Xenopus tropicalis: one gene and its partners. The protein of the gene in region 3 interacts with the protein of the main gene of each other region in a pairwise test. Links are inferred from orthologs where the notes say so. Each region holds a gene or a part of one and is shown on either strand. Other genes may lie near its edges. The genes, in order: hes6.1, foxa2, tle1, dazap2 and tk1.

Evidence for each region.
Region 1: the proteins of tle1 (region 3) and hes6.1 interact in binary tests that used the Homo sapiens proteins (3 or more experiments, as listed by UniProt). The link is inferred for Xenopus tropicalis from reciprocal best matches to the Homo sapiens genes TLE1 and HES6.
Region 2: the proteins of tle1 (region 3) and foxa2 interact in a two-hybrid assay, tested with the Homo sapiens proteins (2 studies listed by BioGRID and IntAct). The link is inferred for Xenopus tropicalis from reciprocal best matches to the Homo sapiens genes TLE1 and FOXA2.
Region 4: the proteins of tle1 (region 3) and dazap2 interact in binary tests that used the Homo sapiens proteins (3 or more experiments, as listed by UniProt). The link is inferred for Xenopus tropicalis from reciprocal best matches to the Homo sapiens genes TLE1 and DAZAP2.
Region 5: the proteins of tle1 (region 3) and tk1 interact in a two-hybrid assay, tested with the Homo sapiens proteins (2 studies listed by BioGRID and IntAct). The link is inferred for Xenopus tropicalis from reciprocal best matches to the Homo sapiens genes TLE1 and TK1.

What each region holds. Positions count from the first base shown.
Region 1 is NC_030681.2:128,040,287-128,044,244, forward strand, and holds the start of hes6.1 (transcription cofactor HES-6), read right to left. Parts: upstream 2,811-3,958; 5' UTR 2,796-2,810; coding exon 2,751-2,795; exon of another isoform or gene 2,713-2,750; coding exon of another isoform or gene 2,692-2,712; intron 1,378-2,691; coding exon 1,291-1,377; intron 905-1,290; coding exon 823-904; intron 661-822; coding exon 287-660; 3' UTR 1-286. UniProt on the Homo sapiens protein: Does not bind DNA itself but suppresses both HES1-mediated N box-dependent transcriptional repression and binding of HES1 to E box sequences.
Region 2 is NC_030681.2:35,623,906-35,628,218, reverse strand, and holds foxa2 (forkhead box protein A2), read right to left. Parts: upstream 2,813-4,313; 5' UTR 2,783-2,812; coding exon 2,714-2,782; intron 1,879-2,713; coding exon 643-1,878; 3' UTR 193-642; downstream 1-192. UniProt on the Homo sapiens protein: Transcription factor that is involved in embryonic development, establishment of tissue-specific gene expression and regulation of gene expression in differentiated tissues.
Region 3 is NC_030677.2:133,433,305-133,436,818, reverse strand, and holds part of tle1 (transducin-like enhancer protein 1), read left to right. Parts: intron 1-982; coding exon 983-1,130; intron 1,131-1,796; coding exon 1,797-1,947; intron 1,948-3,514. UniProt on the Homo sapiens protein: Transcriptional corepressor that binds to a number of transcription factors. Inhibits NF-kappa-B-regulated gene expression. Inhibits the transcriptional activation mediated by FOXA2, and by CTNNB1 and TCF family members in Wnt signaling.
Region 4 is NC_030678.2:142,308,535-142,312,048, reverse strand, and holds part of dazap2 (DAZ-associated protein 2), read right to left. Parts: intron 2,902-3,514; coding exon 2,656-2,901; intron 1,331-2,655; coding exon 1,202-1,330; 3' UTR 1-1,201. UniProt on the Homo sapiens protein: In unstressed cells, promotes SIAH1-mediated polyubiquitination and degradation of the serine/threonine-protein kinase HIPK2, probably by acting as a loading factor that potentiates complex formation between HIPK2 and ubiquitin ligase SIAH1.
Region 5 is NC_030686.2:26,185,839-26,189,933, reverse strand, and holds the start of tk1 (thymidine kinase, cytosolic), read right to left. Parts: upstream 2,802-4,095; 5' UTR 2,784-2,801; coding exon 2,718-2,783; intron 629-2,717; coding exon 597-628; intron 209-596; coding exon 95-208; intron 1-94. UniProt on the Homo sapiens protein: Cell-cycle-regulated enzyme of importance in nucleotide metabolism. Catalyzes the first enzymatic step in the salvage pathway converting thymidine into thymidine monophosphate.

The DNA of each region.
Region 1 (3,958 bases), on a different chromosome or scaffold from region 3:
TCTTCATATTACACAAAAACACTATAATGGAAAGTATCTACAGTGTGATGCTCCAACATCAGCGTCAAAGTGAAACATCCAGAAGGTAGTGGCAGTGGAACAATCAGAATTTTTCATGGGTCATCCTATACAACAGTACTAAGTCCTTTCCTTTAAGTGTTAAAATAGGTTGAGTTCCTATTACAGAGATCCAAAAATACAGAAATGACAGGTGGTGGCTCTTTCATAGTTGATGTACATTAATACTAGTGTATGAGCATGGCTCCCTGTGATCTTCTTCATTTGGTCACCATGGTCTCCACATTGTAGGGGTGGGGGGCTGAATCTCAGGGGTCCGGCCACTGTCCTGGACTGAACCCATTCCAGCCTTTTCCCCCTCAGATTCCTCCATATCAGAGCAGCTATCCTCAGAGGAGGATCCAAGCACTCCCAAGCCACATCCCTCTTCAGAGCTAGTGGAATCCAGAAGTACATCCATCACTAGGTCTTGCAAGCTGCCCTCACTCAGGGGCATAGACTCCAGCAAGTGGTTCAGAAGCTCAGCAGCCAAACTGGCATCGATGCCAGGACAACTGGATACAAAGGTGTGAACTTCATGCATACACTGGATGTACCCTGCTGCGAAACGCTCACTGGCCTCACGCTGTAACCGATCAGCCTCTGTAAAATAAAGAAATCACTATGACTATGGGCACTGGCACAACATACCAGAGACATTAGCCAAGACAACCAGACGAAAGCCGCTATGTGCGTATACACAAGGCCCCCCATGCCTTTACTAGGAGGAGGTGTTCTATACATTCTTGGCACACACACACTTACCAGCTGTTCTGTTCCGAAGGATCCGCTCAACACGTTTCACAGTCAGTTCTAGAACCTCTGCGTTCTCCATTTTTGACTGAAACTAAAGAGAAATGACAATGCCTTAATGTAAACATCTACATGTGAGTGTAGCACAGGATCATACTCATGGTACAGCAGAACTAATGGAGCAAATGTACATCAAGCAGAGAGAAAATGCAGAAAACTAATATCCCATGGGGGCTACAACCATATAGGTGTGTTTACATTTACACACACACACACACACACACACAAATCCCCACACCGTGTGAGCTCTTTTTGTAAGTACTCTGTATGTTCAATGCATACACAATAATTGTACAGTACTGTGGCATATGTGGCACTTTAATAAACAAATGTAAATATATACATACAGATAAAAAGAACAAACTTTAGCAGCAAGTATAGTATGAATAAAAGGCTGCTCGTCTGAGCTTCTGTACATACCTCAGTGTCAGACAGGATCCCACGCAGATCCTGTAGGCTCTCATTTATTCTAGCTCTTCTCCTCTTCTCAACCAGAGGTTTCCTCATCTGTTTAAAAAACCAAACAAACAAATGCCCGTTATAAACTGCCCCAACACAAACACTGTGGAAGGAATCTGGCAAATAATACATTCAGGGCACCAAAGAGTAGGATCTATCAGACTGAATCAATTATTTTGCAGCATTTGTCCATCTTGGATGTATGCTATGTGAGAAGCCCATGATCTACACAGTCTTCCTTTAACCCTTTCACCATCCACTTTTATATATCAGTGAGGCTCATTCATCAACTTAGCGCAGTAATTGGCCAATATCAATCTGCTGCAGGTACAATACTGAAAGGCGATATCTAGTTGCTATGGGTCACTAAAGCTTGCCCAGGGCTAGTAAATGAACCCCACTCTCTCCAGAGTTTCAATTATCAGTTAAACACAAAAACACCAAGTCCTCCAAACAAATCTAACTAAGAAATGTCTGATTATAGTCGCAAGGCAATAGCAGTGCACTCCGCTAAATACTTATCTAACTTTCATTATAAATGAATTGGGAAAACTGTCTCTTGAAACTATACGGCAGAAGTTGGTTCCTTCAGATCAGTAAATGAGCGTATTTCTACTACATTGTTCCAGGAGCCAGAGACAGATATTGCTTCCAATAACAATTACATTACAAATGGACTTGGGGGCCATTTAAAGCTGTACAGTCATACAAACTGGTTGCAGGGGAACTTAAAATGGCAAAACAAAGTGCATGAAAGGCAACCCTGCTACAAAGTTTCATTCTAGTATATACCTTCCTAGAGACAACAGCCAGGTCCCCCTCTATAAACAGTGCCATGTAAGGCAACACATTCACTGCGCCCAATCACATTCTAAATGTACAAGTTTTTACAGGCATGGGGTTAGGCTTTGCAATAGGCAGCCCTACAACTGGGCAAAACTACAACTCCCAGCAGCTACAGCTCTGAGGGCTGCATTTAATTACATTACAGAAATATCAAGGCACGGAGCTGATCTGCAGCCAAGTTACGGCACAGCAAAGCCAGTATAGCGCTTAGCCAAACGCAAAGCGATACATCGGTGCAACAGTGTCGCACGTAGAGCGTGTAGGCGCACAAAGGCTGCACACACGTCCCGCTGAAGCATGGGCACGGCAGCACATACCCCAGGCAGCCCGGAACACTGCCGGAACACTGGGGGGACTAATTCAAAGACAAATCCGTGCATAAGGCTCAGCAAAGCGAGAGGCGCAATGAGTGCGCACAATAGGTGCCCAGAGCGATCGCCGCGCTACACAGCCCCGGCCTGTTGGTTTAATCCACACACAACGGAAGTGAAAGTGTTGCGCCGGGGTCTCCCTCACCTGCCTGTCCCCCCGCTCCATGGGAGATATAGTGGTAGATATAACCGGAGCCACAGTACCGTGCCTATATAGCGCTCTCTCACCTGCCTCTCCCTGCGCTCCATCTGATCGCTATGGGACGTGCTACCGAGCTCTTTGTGACGTCACTCTGCGGCTGCCCGCACTCTCCATATATCGCGCCTCATTTCCATGTGAATGGCAGGCCGCTCGTTGCGTCACGTACGCCGCCAACCAATGGGAGCGCGTCGCATTGTGCCAGTCGGCAGCTGCTGGATAGGGCTGCGGGAGTGTGAGGCTTAGGTTGCAGGTACCGCCCGCACTGAATTATCGCAATGCTGTGCTATAGGCGTTTTATGTGCGGCTGTTGCTTTCAAGTCCTGTTTCTTATCACCTGCCCTTATAGTGCAGCGAATGTGTGGGGTTCTCCGAGGTTTAATACACCCGCTCAGCTTCAATTCCGCCAAGTGCAGACACAGATCAGTTAATAGTGATTCATTCAGTTAGTTAATTTTATGCAGCAAATTAAGAAAGATTTTGAATCGTCTGTCTTGTGTATATTATGTCATAAGGTCGAAAAAAAGGTTTTGCTCACTACTAAATTTTGAACCATTAGGCTGGGGTGCAATGAGGCTGTGACCCCAAAATTCACGGGGGCAGCAATAAGAGATCTGCACTGACCCATTATCTATATAGGCATTAAACTACCAAGAAATGCCCTCCTCTCTAAGCAAAACAGGGATTGTTTGTCCATATATTGCAATATACTTCTAGCTGGCCAACTATGTCATCCCTGGTCTGGCTAGTCCTACACTCACTTTCATCTGATTCATTAACAATTCTATATATATTACCAAAGGGTGAGAGCAGAGTTACATAGGGTTGAAAAAAGAGTCCATCAAGTTCAACCCTTCCAAGTAAACCCAGCACCCACAAACCTATTTGGTCTCCAGTGCTCAAACGGGACATTATTGAGTTAGAGAGGGTACAGAGAAGGGCAACTAAGCTGGTAAAGGGTATGGAAAGTCTCAGTTATGAAGAAAGACTGGCCAAGTTGGGTCTGTTTACACTGGAGAAGAGGCGCTTAAGAGGTGACATGATAACTATGTCTAAATATATAAGGGGATCATATAATAACATTTCTAATGTTTTATTTACCAGTAGGTCCTTCCAACGGACACGAGGGCACCCACTCCGTTTAGAAGAAGGGAGGTTCCGTTTAAATATTCGGAAAGGATTTTTTAATGTGAGAGCTGTGAAGTTCTGGAAT
Region 2 (4,313 bases), on a different chromosome or scaffold from region 3:
TCTAATCCCATTGTGGCAGAACTTTCATGGACTTGTGAGAAATTGAAGGGAAGTGTCAGCAGAGCAGAACCCTTCAGCCTCCCTGTATCCCACCTTGGTACAGTCCAGACCTTGGCTTGTGCTCACTTATCTGATTCACCTTCAGCCACAAAAATATGTGTATAGAGGTGGAAAGAAAAATCCCGACAGAAATGCCAATTCATTTTTTAATAGAGATTGTTAAACCGGCCGGTTATGGCCAGAATACATACAGCAGTCATAAATAAAACATACAGAAACCATAAATTAACCAGTTTCAAGCATCTCCCCCAAACAAATAAAAAAAAAAAACATCTTTTTTTTCAATTACATCAATATATTCCGTTTCTGTTTTTTTTAACATTACCAATATCACACAATTTTGGTCCTTAGGGAAAATTAACAGATTTCACACAGAAAAATTAGGATCCGTCACTTTCACAAAAATATACTCCTTGCCAAAGAAAAGCACCCAAATCAAACATAGCTTAACAAGCTAAGCTCCTATACAGAAACAAACTCGGGGGACTGTACAATTCAATAGGAATGTAGACACATACTATGTTGTTTTTCTTCTTAATATTATATACACAGAGCCCAGGTGACAAGTCCATGGTAGAAAGTCTATGAGGAGTTCATGATAGGTCTAGAATACACACCTTGATAGTATGAGGTGTCACTGGAAATAGGTGAAGACTCTAAGCCACTTTTGTTTGTTACTGTGCTCATTGCCAGGCTGCCAGTCATGGGGGACCCGTAACCAGAGTAGTGCATCACCTGTTCATAAGCTTTTAAGTCCATTTTATGGTGATGATGGTGGTTGTGGTGGTGGTGATGGTGGTGCTGTTGCTCTGAGGACATGAGGTTGTTGATGGAGAATGGGTGGTTGAAAGAATAATGGTGTTCTGGTTTGAGGTGGGACTGGGCTTCATGGGACAAGACAGAGTGGTGCTGGGAAAGCAAGTGCTGGGCTTGGGAGGCTGGGGAGGCTGCATGGTCTGGGCTTAAGCCTTGGCTGGACTTCATATCTACTAGAGACCTCTTCTGCTCCTGGCAGGGGGACGAGCTGGAGTGCGGGGACTCATTGCCCACTGAGCTCTCAGAGCTGCTGTTGGCTGCAGAGCCCACACTCGATGACCCTTCTGAGAGTTTCTTGCCTCCCCCTTCTCTAAGGCTGGGCTTTTTCTCGCACTTGAAGCGTTTCTGTCGCCTCAGGTAACAGCCATTCTCAAACATGTTGCCCGAATCGGGGTGTAGGGTCCAGAAGGAGCCCTTTCCGGGCTTGTCAGGGGACCTGGGCACCTTGAGAAAACAGTCATTGAAGGAAAGAGAATGGCGGATAGAGTTCTGCCAGCGCTGCTGGTTCTGCCTGTAGAAAGGAAACAGGTCCATGATCCACTGATAAATCTCGCTGAGAGTGAGCATCTTGTTGGGGGACTGCTGGATCGCCATGGTGATGAGCGAGATGTACGAGTAGGGGGGCTTCGCATGCGTATAACTGCGCCTGTAAGTCTTGGGGTCCCTGGATCTGTTGATGTTGGACTGTCCATAGATTGGGCTCATTGAGTTCATGTTGGTATAGGGTGCCAGGGCATTCATAGAAGTAGCCTGGGCACTCATCGGGCTCATACTGGGGCTGAGGTGACTTGCCATACTGGCTACCCCGGTGCCCATTCCAGTCATTGCCCCGGTGCCAGGAGACATGCCGGTGAGCGATGGGCTCATCCCAGTATTCACATAGGACATGTTCATGGAGCCGGCGGTCATGTTGGCCGAGGTGCTCATAGCAGACATGCTCATGTACGTGTTCATGGGGTTCATGCTCAGCCCGGCGTTCATGTTACCCACCGAGGAGTAAGCCTGGGAACAAACGACAGGGTCACAATCTAAAAGTCGCAAAATCAACAGCAACCTGTGGCCCTCCGGCTCTGGCTGAAACACACTGTCCGTGGAGGCAGACGTGGAAGGCTGGAAGATGTAGTTCAGCAAGAGCTCGGAAGTCACAGGTTGTAGAGACACATGTACAACTCGTAGAACGTTTTCTTCTGTTAATGTTAAACAACTCGGGCTTAAATCATGTCAAATAATATTAAATACAATATACATACATATATATAGCCCCTCTAGAAAAGATCAATAAATATTTATTTATACGTTTCTCTATACCTGCCCAGTTATAAGGCTGCCCACACATTGCTATTCTGACCCTACTGTTGATTCCATAATAAAGAAAACGAAAGTGTCAAATATTCAGAGACCCAGAAATGCTAAAAAAACAACAAAAAACGAAATAAAATGATTTAAGGAATATAGCAGCCCCTCTCCCCCCAAGCCAGCCTTGGGAAGCCCTTTGGGTATAAGGGTTCTTACTAAAGACAACTCCAGGAGAAAATCAGGAAAATGTCCATATTTAGTACAAACTGTTCTTCCTGAAAGTGTGATTAGTTAAATTCACAAGTATAATCTGTTTTTTTTCCATACAATTCCCCTTGCCTGTGCCCATTGCCTTGCCCCCCCTGCCCATGCCAAACAGAACTTTGTTGGGACAGTGTGTGGCTCAGTCATCGAGGAGGATTTGGAGGCGCCACAAGTCAATATTTGATGACCAAGTTAATATTATCCCAGGGCTAACAGTGCGCTATAAAGAGGCAGAATGAGGCAAGGATTGTGCCATTAGCGACAAGCGGCTCTTTACCTCGGGTTCCCCGTAGTAGCTGCTCCAGTCTGTGGCTTCGTGTCCTTCCATTTTCACAGCCCCGAGCATACTGGAAGCTGAGTGCCTGGCAGTTTAAAATTTAACTGCCACAACAACTACGACAGCGATAGCAACAAAAAGAGAGAGAGTGTGAGGGAGCCAGGAACCCTCCCTCTTCCTCTCTGATCACTAGGAGGGGGAAGGCTGGAGGTGGCTGCTGCTGCTGCTGGGCTAGTGTTGGGCACAAATGGACAGCCAGAGGGGCTGCTCAATGAGTGGGATGGGGTTTCAGGGAAACTGAAGTAGCAAGAGGTGCTGCAGGGGGTGAAAAAGACCTCAGGGTGCTGCTGCTGAGGAGGAGGATGATGATGATGACTCCAAGTCTAGTAGTGACGTTGCTGCAGGGTGATATAGCACCCAGCTCCAGGCAAACCTCCAATCCCCAGGTCTTCGCCTGCCCATTTGAATAATCAGCTCACACCTAAGTGCCAGACTGTTCCTTGGCCCTGCTATTCTACACCTGCCTTAAACCTATTTGAATAGATTCATTAAGCTTTAATCTGATTGTGCACTTCCCTAGGGGAGGAGTGGGGATTGGACGAGAGAAGGACACAAACTCACTTTATTACCCAATTTTTTTGTTCCTCTACATGGATATGGGAGAAACTGTAGTCACCTAAACTGGCAGATATCTTATTAACTGATACCAAAGCAAAATACAACTCCCCAACACACATTATTTTATACACCATTTTATTTTATTGAATTCACAATCAATATGAATGGCAAATAACTGGGACGCATATACAGATAATAGAAATAAGAATTATTACTCCCACATAAGATAATTGGTTGCGATTTATTTCAGAACCAATGAAAGTGCAATTAGGTAAAGGTTTAACGATAAATAACAGAAATAGAATAAAGTGATAATGCAATAAGGTTACATTTTTAATCTCACCACAATCAGGAAAATTCCATTCCAATTTGATACAAAGTCCTGTGAATCTTTACAGAAAGTTACCTTAAAAACCCAGATCCCAGGGAAAGGGAAATGCCAAAATAAAAATTTATTACAGATAATACATTTGAGTATGAAAACCTATCCACAGCATCGACTCAAAGAGACGAAATGTTCTACGATCTTGTTGTATTCCTTCCAATCTTGCCCCAGAACCGACGATAATCCACTTGCATAAAATATAATAAAATAGATTTGTTCTGTATTTTGTATAGTGTCTGCTCCATCTGCCTGAGATCTGTCATTTGCCGCCCGTTCCGACTGAACTAAGCGCACAAGCAGAGCTGCAACATATATTTATTCTGGAGGGCACGTTTGCTGTTTGAGATATTAAACAAAGTAAAGTTTATTTAACGTGTTTGATCATCGCAGATTTAGCAGATCGTCTCAGGGATGGTCAATAAATTGGGCCTTAGGAAAACAAGGAAATTCTGAAGAGGAATAAAGCGTTGCCTTTCGTTTGAACAGCCCTGCAATGTACAGAAAGCTAATCTTGTACAATGAGGGGAAATTACTAATAATAAAATAAAACAGAACGCACAAGCTGTATACAGTAGGGAGGTGGGAGGCATGTGTCTA
Region 3 (3,514 bases):
TTGGCAGGCACATGACAGATTTGGGACTCTGATAATTCTAGTTCCTACCTTCACATGAAATTCTAAGCACAGTTAGTCAGTCTCCTTTTGGAATTTCCCTTCTAGCCAATATATTTTATTTATTTTTATATTAGTTTTTTTTTTTTTGTACAGGGGCACATACTTCTAGTATGTATGGCAGTGTTGCTGGTCTTTTTTATGTGATGTGTTATATTTTTACCATGCACCTGGGTATTTAACTAAAGCGGTGTGCCACTCTCTTGTAAAAAAAAAAAATAAAAATATATATATATATATATATATATATAAGTGCTTGAGAGAGGGTCAGCACTCACAGGACTTATACAAACAAATTATTTTATTAAAGAGGAGACTAACGTTTCGGCTAGCACTCTAGCCTTTTTCAAAGTTTGAAAAAGGCTAGAGTGCTAGCCGAAACGTTAGTCTAGTAAATAGGGTCGCGGCATTAGGAAGGTTGAGAACCACTGTACTAGAACAAAACAAAGATTTTTTTAGTAAGGAACAGAAAAACATTATGGGTGTATAAAAACAGGAGCTCATGCAGTCTAGATTTTGTATACATTGGAAACTTTTGTGTCTATTGAGCATTTTTGTATGGATACTGAAATTTTCTGTTAAATATTATCCCTTAGAGAAACTCTTTGCAGCCATAGAGATAAGTGAACATTTTGTGCAAGCTATTTTGTGCAATGCTTGTATAAAATATAATTAGAAGAATCCGCTCATTGGCAACAAATGATTTTATCCAAATTGCCTATTCTAAAGTTTGCTAATTAAATTACTGAAATTAGAGCCACATAAGCGCCTGCGCTTTATCTCAAAACAGAAAGGGGGGCGTGTTACTCTTTTAATATATTTACAAGAGGTGACACATGTAGGGAAAGTCCAAAGCTAACAACACAGCAGTGTTTACCTTGAATACTGGCAGGAAATCATTATTCAATCGTGTTTGTCTTATCAGGCAGTTCCAGGGCCACACAGATGGAGCCAGCTGTATTGACATTTCTAATGATGGTACCAAGCTCTGGACCGGGGGTTTGGACAACACGGTAAGGTCCTGGGACCTGCGTGAAGGACGGCAGCTCCAGCAGCATGACTTTACATCACAGGTAATTGCTGCCATATTTCTTTCACCTTCAACCCTTCTAAAAAATGGGATAATGTCAAGTATTAATATTATTCTTTAAATATTTACTTATTTGAGAGTAGAATAATTCCTATATGAATACTGTGGTTTATAAAATGTTTTTAAAATGTATTTTTTAATATAAATAAGTAATAGTCCTAGTTTGCAGAGGCAATTGCTACTACCATGCCATTTGACATTCCAGCTGTCTGTAGTTTATCTGTAATACAAACTTTGCAATAATCCAGAGGAAAGGAAATAATAAAAATGCAAACATTTAGGTTAATGTAACATATGGTAATTTGTTACTTTTAGGGAAATAATTTCCCATTGATTTTAACAGGAATTACATATAGCCTCATGGTGCAATTTGAAGTGAAAATGAGGGCAGGGGGATTCTTTTTACTCTTGTATTTTCACTTAACAATGAGATTTCCAATTAACAGTTATGAGTATAATTGCTTACCAGTGCTCCTGTCACCTGAAAACTGCACCGGGATTGGGTACTGTAGTGTATCAAAAAGGCATAATTATCAGAAAACCATAAGATCAAAAATCTGCATCAGTTCTGGGAAAACCTAAAATCTAGGTTCTACTGTAGCCTAATGATGGTTTATTGCATTGATTGACCACTGTATGTTTCCTATAGATCTTCTCTCTTGGGTATTGCCCAACTGGTGAATGGCTTGCTGTTGGAATGGAGAGTAGTAATGTGGAAGTACTGCATGTAAACAAGCCAGACAAGTATCAGCTGCACCTGCATGAAAGCTGTGTACTCTCACTAAAATTTGCCTATTGCGGTAAGTTGGAACTATTTTATTTTGCAGGGGAGTGGGGGTGATGTCTAATTTTCAGAGTGCTGTGTTTATAAACTGAAATATTATCCCAGCAATCCATTTAGAATTCATTTTTACCATAAAAGCAAAGAAAACAAACTCTGCCATTAGCCTAACTGTTTTCGCTGTGCCTCTGACATTTTATATGCAACGGGAGAAAAGCTGATCTGCTGCCTTCTGCTTCCTGAATGTGTATGTGGTAACTGCCGCGGTTTTAATGCATATTAAAATTTAACAATACTTATTAAAACATTCAACATTCTTGCAGGAATGGACAAAACAACATTACAAGTAAACACACAGCAGACTCCAGGGCTTTAGAACTTTAAAATATGCATTTTTGCTACAAAATCCACTGCGTGTGCACTGACAAGCTGATCCCTAGCCTGTCAGTGCATACAGTGGCTTGCAAAAGTATTCGGCCCCCTTGAACTTTTCCACATTTTGTCACATTACAGCCACAAACATGAATCAATTTTATTGGAATTCCACGTGAAAGACAAATACAGAGTGGTGTACACGTGAGAAGTGGAACGAAAATCATACATGATTCCAAACATTTTTTACAAATAAATAACTGCAAAGTGGGGTGTGCGTAATTATTCAGCCCCCTTTTGGTCTGAGTGCAGTCAGTTGCCCATAGACATTGCCTGATGAGTGCACCTGTGTGTAATCTAATGTCGGTACAAATACAGCTGCTCTGTGACAGCCTCAGAGGTTGTCTAAGAGAATATTGGGAGCAACACCACCATGAAGTCCAAAGAACACACCAGACAGGTCAGGGATAAAGTTATTGAGAAATTTAAAGCAGGCTTAGGCTACAAAAAGATTTCCAAAGCCTTGAACATCCCACGGAGCACTGTTTAAGCGATCATTCAGAAATGGAAGGAGTATGGCACAACTGTAACCCTACCGAGACAAGGCCGTCCCCCTAAACTCACAGGCCGAACAAGGAGAGCGCTGATCAGAAATGCAGCCAAGAGGCCCATGGTGACTCTGGGGGAGCTGCAGAGATCTACAGCTCAGGTGGGGGAATCTGTCCATAGGACAACTATTAGTCGTGCACTGCACAAAGTTGGCCTTTATGGAAGAGTGGCAAGAAGAAAGCCATTGTTAACAGAAAACCATAAGAAGTCCCGTTTGCAGTTTGCCACAAGCCATGCGGGGGACACAGCAAACATGTGGAAGAAGGTGCTCTGGTCAGATGAGACCAAAATTGAACTTTTTGGCCAAAATGCAAAACGCTATGTGTGGCGGAAAACTAACACTGCACATCACTCTGAACACACCATCCCCACTGTCAAATATGGTGGTGGCAGCATCATGCTCTGGGGGGGCTTCTCTTCAGCAGGGACAGGGAAGCTGGTCAGAGTTGATGGGAAGATGGATGGAGCCAAATACAGGGCAATCTTGGAAGAAAACCTCTTGGAGTCTGCAAAAGACTTGAGACTGGGGCAGAGGTTCACCTTCCAGCAGGACAACGACCCTAAACATAAAGCCAGGGCAACAATGGAATGGTTTAAAACAAAAC
Region 4 (3,514 bases), on a different chromosome or scaffold from region 3:
TCTTTGCACTTGTTAAGCTGTCAGTGGTTCTTAAGTCTGACCTCCAAAAACATATATACATGTTCATTCTTTTCATAAAAGTATGCATTATACATTTATGTAGGTTGGCAAATTACTTAAAAAATAAAGTGTTGCTGAATTACCATTCCTTGACCAAAACACCATCCCTTTAGAAGAACAAATAATTTAGATTTAAGAGGTGAGCAGAAAATGTGTTTAGGCTGGCTTATTATATACGCTATTTGGTGGAAAAGGCACAAAAAGCACCATGCTTAGCAGCCTTGCCTATTACTTCCATTTCCCAGTGCTACTTGAGAAACACCAGTAGTTAAACCTAAAATCATTTTAACAAAAAAAAATATATAGTATTATTAAGTATTGTAAGTTATATGATTTGCATCTGAAAATGATAATATAGCACCCTCGTGTGTAGTCTAACTGCTAATCTCTACAATATCCAACTATTCTATCATGCTGCTAATTAAAAGGGCAAATAACCCTGAAAAGCAGAAATTGTTTCAAGCAGCATTCAGAAATTAAAAAACAAATGGTTGACTTGCAGAAGACAGAAACAAGATGCATATATCTGAAATCTGGGGATTGAAAAGAAATAGGACTTTCTGAAATACATAGAGAAATGATGATAGGACATTCAGCAATAGAGGCCAAATATATTTGTCTATCTAGGCATTTCATTTTGCTTTCTTTAAAAGATACAATATGCAGTCCTAGGTGTTATTAATACAGCTGTGTCCTATTCCAAAGCCAGCAACAGTTATAAAGCACAACAATTTCTCAGTTATTTCAAATATTACTCCTAACGCACAGTCCTTCCATCCCTCATCTAAAGGACTCGGTGAGCCTAAAATCAGCCTGTAATTTGAAAGTTTATTATTAAGTGAAGGTGCATGGGAAGAGGTTAGAGGTGTTTTAAAGGGTTGCAAAGCATTTTCTTTCCTTATTAAAAGGACCTCCTTTAATATATAGTAGGAGTACTTAAAGAATGAGCACCAGGAAGACATCCCACGACATCCGTGACTAAACAGCAAATCTGGGTTAATATTCTAAAGCAGAACATTGTGGGAAGTGCTCACAGGGTGAGATGCCATTCCTTGTACAAAGGCTAGCCCATTGTATTATGTTTATTTTTTTTGTTTTATTTTTGCTTTTTAACCCCTGTTTTCATGCCTCTGGTTCCATCTCACCAAATGGTGTAGCCACCATCTGAGCCACCCATGAAGTAATTGCCTTTCCTCTGTGTGACCAATACATTTGCACCCTGCATGGCAGCCAGCTGAGCCGCATTCGGGGGGCAGCCCGGTGGAGGTGGCTGAAAGGAAAAAAAAAAAGAGAAAAGACCATTAAAATGGTAGCAGATTTTATAGTATAAAATGCACAAGGTATACCACCACAAATTACTAAATTAACATTAACATTCATAGCTATCATTTGGCTAGGAAGTTAATATGTATTCAGAGTCAAAATAAATTAAGAAGCACTGTCAGAACCAAGATGTGCTCACTACTTCACTTGTCTTCTAAATATCTGATGCAGAAATATATGTTATAAAGCAGGGTTCTCCAGGGGCACTGTCACTAAGTTCTCCTCCACAGGCAATTTCTATTTTCTTTCCACATAATGCAAAAATGTTAACTATAACAATTACTATTTTTTTTTCTGTCAGGGATGTATTTAAATTTGTATTCCTGTCTATTTATACCCTTGCATATATATATATCCATGGTACAAAAATAGGTAAGAGGGCACAAGAACCAGTTTTAGAAGGTGTATATAAAACTTTGTTACATACCAGCACTCTCTTAAAAGGGTTGGTTGTTCAATTTTAAATTAACATTTGGCATGATGTAGAGTGATATTCTGCCACAATTTCCAATCGGTTTTTCAATATTTATGGTCTTTGAGCTATTTAGCTTTCTATTCAGCAGCTCTCCAGTTCAGAATATCAGCAGCCATTAGCCATTCTATACGATACTAAAAGTTAACTTATAAGTAAACCACCCCAGATTTAACAAAAAAAAATGTGTTTTCGATCCTCATTAGGACTTTTATCAAGGAGTGTTACAGGTAACACTCAGTATTGCACAATAGATGTTGGTATTTAAAGAAAGAGAACCATTTATAGCAGTTACTTTATATATATATATATATATACACAGTTTATATCATGCTCTGTATGCTCCTTTCCCTGCAGCAAGATATAATGTCTGTATAAAGCTGGAAAGTGCTGGAAAGAATACTGCATGCAGTCTGACAGTACTTGTATAACATAAACAATGCAGTAGAACAGCACTCACAGGATTTATTGAATCAGTCTTCCAAAGGTTTATCTTGCACCATTTCGGTCCCCCACAGGCACCTTCTTCGGAAGATAAAAAAAAAAACCTTTGGAAGACTGATTTAGCAAATCTTGCAAGTGTCGTTCTTCTGAATTGTTTATGTTGTTTCTCAGGCACCCAGGTAAAGCAACTGTTTATGGTGTGCGCCTTATGTCTCCCTACATACATATACATTTGCAAAAATAAATTAGATTTTATGAACATGAATTTAATGATAGCATTATTAATACCGATATAACATACAAAAGCAGATATATTTGTCTCTAACACCGATTTAATAGCCTGTTATAACACTTACTGGAACAGATGGGGAGCTACCAACACCAAATCTAGCGCCTGCATCATAGCCCCCTTCAACAATGACTGTGGAGCCAGGTGGGTACACAGGACCAATAGGGTAATAAGCCATAGGTACTGATGAGGCCATTGGTGCAACTTGCATAGCCTGAGCCATAGGAAGATACATTGATGTGCTGGGGGGGTAAGCTGCAGACAGAGGGGCCATATTAGCTGCTGCTTGATGCACATACCCAGATCGGTAGAGCTAGAAAAAAAATATATCTGTTAGTGCCAATAAATTACCAATAAACTAAAACTATACTTTAAAAGCATAATTTGTTACCAATAATGGACAAATAATTGACCACCATTAAAAATAAGAATAATTTCAAAATGCCTACTATATATATGGCAGACAAGTAGTGAAACCATTGAAACACACACCCATACTACAATTACAGGGCAGTGCAACACAAAACCCCATGTTTCCCCTGTATGTTGTCCCCTCCCCAAACTACAAGACCAGCCAGAATGCTGTCTTTTGTAAGGTCAACAGGGTTTTATATAATAAACTATCAGCACCTTGTGAGCTTAAAGGGACACTACACACCCTTTTTCAACATGAGCTCGATAAATAAGGCATGTGCTTAACATACCTTTGCCTATTGTTTTAATAACCAAATATCTATGTTTTCCATTATTTCTGGCACAATATGAAGTCCGTTTCACTTTAACACTTCCTGAACCCAAAAGAATTTCAAAGATGCTGATAAAACTGCAGTTCCCAACAGATGGGAAAACAATGTGTAAAATCAATTTGGGCATACAAAGTACAGCACAATATTTACAATAATAATGGGTTCCATTTTGAGTTCCAT
Region 5 (4,095 bases), on a different chromosome or scaffold from region 3:
CAGTAAATACAAATGTACCACAACCAATGATATGCGATATTTCTATATGTAGATAAGATGAGCTTAACAATACAGAATGTGTAAAATTGCTTACTGGTCATGTGTAGCAAGATGCTCTTTGCTGTAGCGTGTATCTTTCGCATACTTTATAAGCATGCACTTGTACTGTGCAATCTGAAACCGTCGCACTCTGCGCATCAGCTCTGTGCTGTAAAATATACAGAAAATTTGTTCAGCAGAATAGGAAAATAAGCAGTCTCATGCGATGACATACAGCAGTTAAAGGACAATAAACATACTTTTTTAAAAAGGCTTACTATAATACATACTGCAGCACTCTAAAAATGGATGCAATGTGAGCAAATACCAAACAGCACCACCATCCATTCAAAAAAAAAAAAAAAAAAAAAAAAAAAAAAGAAGAATTGTCCCAACGCAGACCAAGACTGATTCCCCTACTGCCCTCCTTCCAAAGCACTTTAGCCCATTGGAAGTAGCGTGCCCCATTGCCATAGCAACACACTGTTCTCAATAAGGAACATCTAGATTACAGCTCATGAGAGAGAATATAGAATTGCGCGGTCCTTTGAACTCACCTTTTTCCAGAAAACATTGGCCCAAATATCACCTAAAAGTAAAAACAAATGGGTTTGAAATACAAATTAACACACAAACCAACTATAGCAGTCATGGTATATACACTTTCATTTGATGGACATGTATACTTTTTAACATCTTTTATCATTAACCATGTAGCTAATTTGAGCATTTTGTGTTCTTTGGGGCATTTTGTCTTTTAGTTTACATATTGAAACTGCCCATTGCTTTGTTAGGACAACCTTAACATTCTCAGAGTCTTTGTGCAACTCCACTTCTGTAACATGATAAAAATAATTTCTATACAATACAGAAGTATATATCAGAAGCATTTTATATTTCACTGATCTGGAAGGCCCCATGTCTCCCGAATGAGCCAATACCAGAATTCTGACTTGTACAGGTCATAAATTCCAAACATAAGCAGGTTTTCAAAGCAGTGCAGCAGAAATCAGCATACAATTGCATGGCCAAATAATTTCCAGTGGTAGCAATGCTTTGCTAAAGTGGATTTCTAATAAATTTTAGTAAAAACTAACTCAAACCTCTCTGTATTTTATCTTCAAAATGTGATAAAGGTACCATTGTATGGCACTATAAATAGGACGGGTCTTCTGGCCCTGTATCCATACAAAGGTTCGCCAAAGACCGTGAAATGTAAAGGCCCCAAAATGAAAATAATAAATAAAATAGTCATGGCAGTCTCTTCAACTACTTCAAAATTAGCACACAGACCAGATTTTTACAATACTGCTTGTTTCCTAGGGGCTGGAGAACAAAGGAGCAGCATAAACGCCGCTCTCCTCCCCACCTGTGAGTGCGGCAGAATGTAGAATCTATGTTGTGGAATGTAGAACCTTTTATCTACAGAATGTGTATTCAGTCAAACCTTTGTTCAAAACACAATTCTGCATTCCATCCTTTGCCAGCATTAGTATTCTATTTATAGATAAACTCTGTAAGAATGCATATGATATATACCCAATCCCAACTACTACAACAGTGATCCCCAACCAGTGACTCCTGAGCAACATGTCACTCCCCACCCCCTTGGATGTTGCTCCCAGTGGTCTCAAAGCAGGTGCTCATTTTTGAATGTCTGGCTTGGAGGCAAGTTTTGGAATCACAGAGACACAGTTTTACTTCAAGCAGAGCCTCCTGCAGGCTAGCAGCCCACATGGGGCTATCGAATAGCCAATCACAGCCCTTATTTGGCAACCCCAAAAACCTTTTTCATGCCTGTGTGGCCCACCAACACTTTTTACAGCAGAGTGTGGCTCACAAGCAAAAAAAGGTTGGGGATCCCTGTACTAAGACACTGGGAATAGTCTTTGCCAACACTTTATGGGGCTCACATACAAAAGAAAGTGAATTCATTGTGTGCCATAAACCCCCCTAGAAAATAACCCTGAATATCAGGCTCAGACTGCCAATCTGCAGATTTTGGTACATGCCACAAACAGTCACTATTTCTGGAGCCTGTCCCTGGCTGTTTAGGCCTCTGTGTGCTTGAAATAGCAGGTTCTGTTTTGAATCCCAGCCCCTATGATGCCATATGTGCCACTACCCTAAAAACCAGAATTCTTAGCAGTCTTTCCACTTACTGCTAGAATTATTTGGCACACACCATAAGCTTCAAGGGCAGGGATATATTTTGTTTTGTTCTTTCCAGGCACCAGAGTGCAACCCCTAAGGCTGCCACATTTGGTACATGCCCTTGGGTACTTATATAAAAATGATAACCCCACTAATAAGGAACAAAGTCCCTGCCCTGTACAGTTGCACTTAAATATATACTTAACCCAAATGTAAGTCTATATACAAGATGTATGTCTGGGAGCTGCATGATGCAGTGTGTTGTGCCTCACAGCCCTTGGTGTATAATACTGAGGGCAAATATAATCTATACATGCACCTGAGCCCACTATTAATACACGTTCCCTTTAGGGGGCCTCTCATAAAGATGTGTTAGGCTAGATACAACACAAAAACTCCCTTGCAGCTGTCATATAACAAGAGTGCTCAGCCAGTTTCTCCTAGAACTACAAATCACTTCACTTCATGACAAGTCATCTGGAGAGTAAACTGCATGGCTAAATGTAATGCTGTGCCCGGCTTACCTGGATCTGGCCCCGGGATTTGCTGGGCGAGCCTGGCATGATTTCGGGTACGTTGAGGCAATTCATATCGGTACCAGGCGAGAGCAGAGCGCGGGAATGACTGTGTCCGGTACAGTCACTTCTTTCAATACAACGTCTGTGCATTCTCCCGCGCAGCTCTGTCCAATCACAGGCGGCGATGGTGTACGCTAGCCAATGGGATTCTACAGCCCCCGCTGTTATGAAGATGAGGAAGGAGGGGATTCAGCTTTCACTGGTTGGCCTGGTGTTTGGCAAACGAGTTGGAGGTGGCGGGAAAAGAAAATTAAATAAACATGAATTTGTAACTAGTGGGACCCTGTAATGTAAATGTTCTTTTCCAGTTAGCGAGGGAGTATGCAAGGGTCAGTTGCATATAATATGAAGGAAAGCTTGCGGAACGCTTCAATGAAATCTACCGCTGATACCGCAGCGAAATCCTGTTGTGGGTTGTGGCACTTGTTAGAACGATGGCTGACGCGTTTTGGCACTAGTATTACGCTTAGCCTGTATGTTTAAAGAAGTGCTTCACAATTTTAATAAAATCACCCCCCCCAACTCTGTCCCTTTTGCCAAAGTAAGAATTTTTGCAATAGAAGAAAATACATTTTTAAAAAAAAAAAAAATTGTGCCAATAGCAGATATTTATTTTCAGAGAGAGCTTTCCCAGCTAATAGGGGCTCCATGCCCCGCTAATAGGGGCTCCATGCCCCGCTAATAGGGGCTCCATGCCCAGCTAATAGGGGCTCCATGCCCCGCTAATAGGGGCTCCATGCCTAGCTAATAGGGGCTCCATGCCTAGCTAATAGGGGCTCCATGCCCCGCTAATAGGGGCTCCATGCCCAGCTAATAGGGGCTCCATGCCCCGCTAATAGGGGCTCCATGCCCCGCTAATAGGGGCTCCATGCCCAGCTAATAGGGGCTCCATGCCCAGCTAATAGGGGCTCCATGCCCAGCTAATACGAGCTCCATGCCCAGCTAATAGGGGCTCCATGCCCAGCTAATAGGGGCTCCATGCCCAGCTAATAGGGGCTCCATGCCCCGCTAATAGGGGCTCCATGCCCCGCTAATAGGGGCTCCATGCCCAGCTAATAGGGGCTCCATGCCCCGCTGAAGGTCTCTGACTTTCTCCTTTGTCATATTACCTGCTATTACTGCTACTGCCCAGTTTCTCACTACTTTGTTTGTATAGTATTAATCAGATTGTCAGGAAGTATAATATCATACCTCCCAACATTTGAAAAATGAAAAGAGGGACAAAAAGATTTGGCACGCGCAGCACGGCAATTTTTGACCACGCCCCCTTTTGTGGCCACGCCCCAATTACCACATCCCATTTTTAAAAAAATAACCCCTTTTA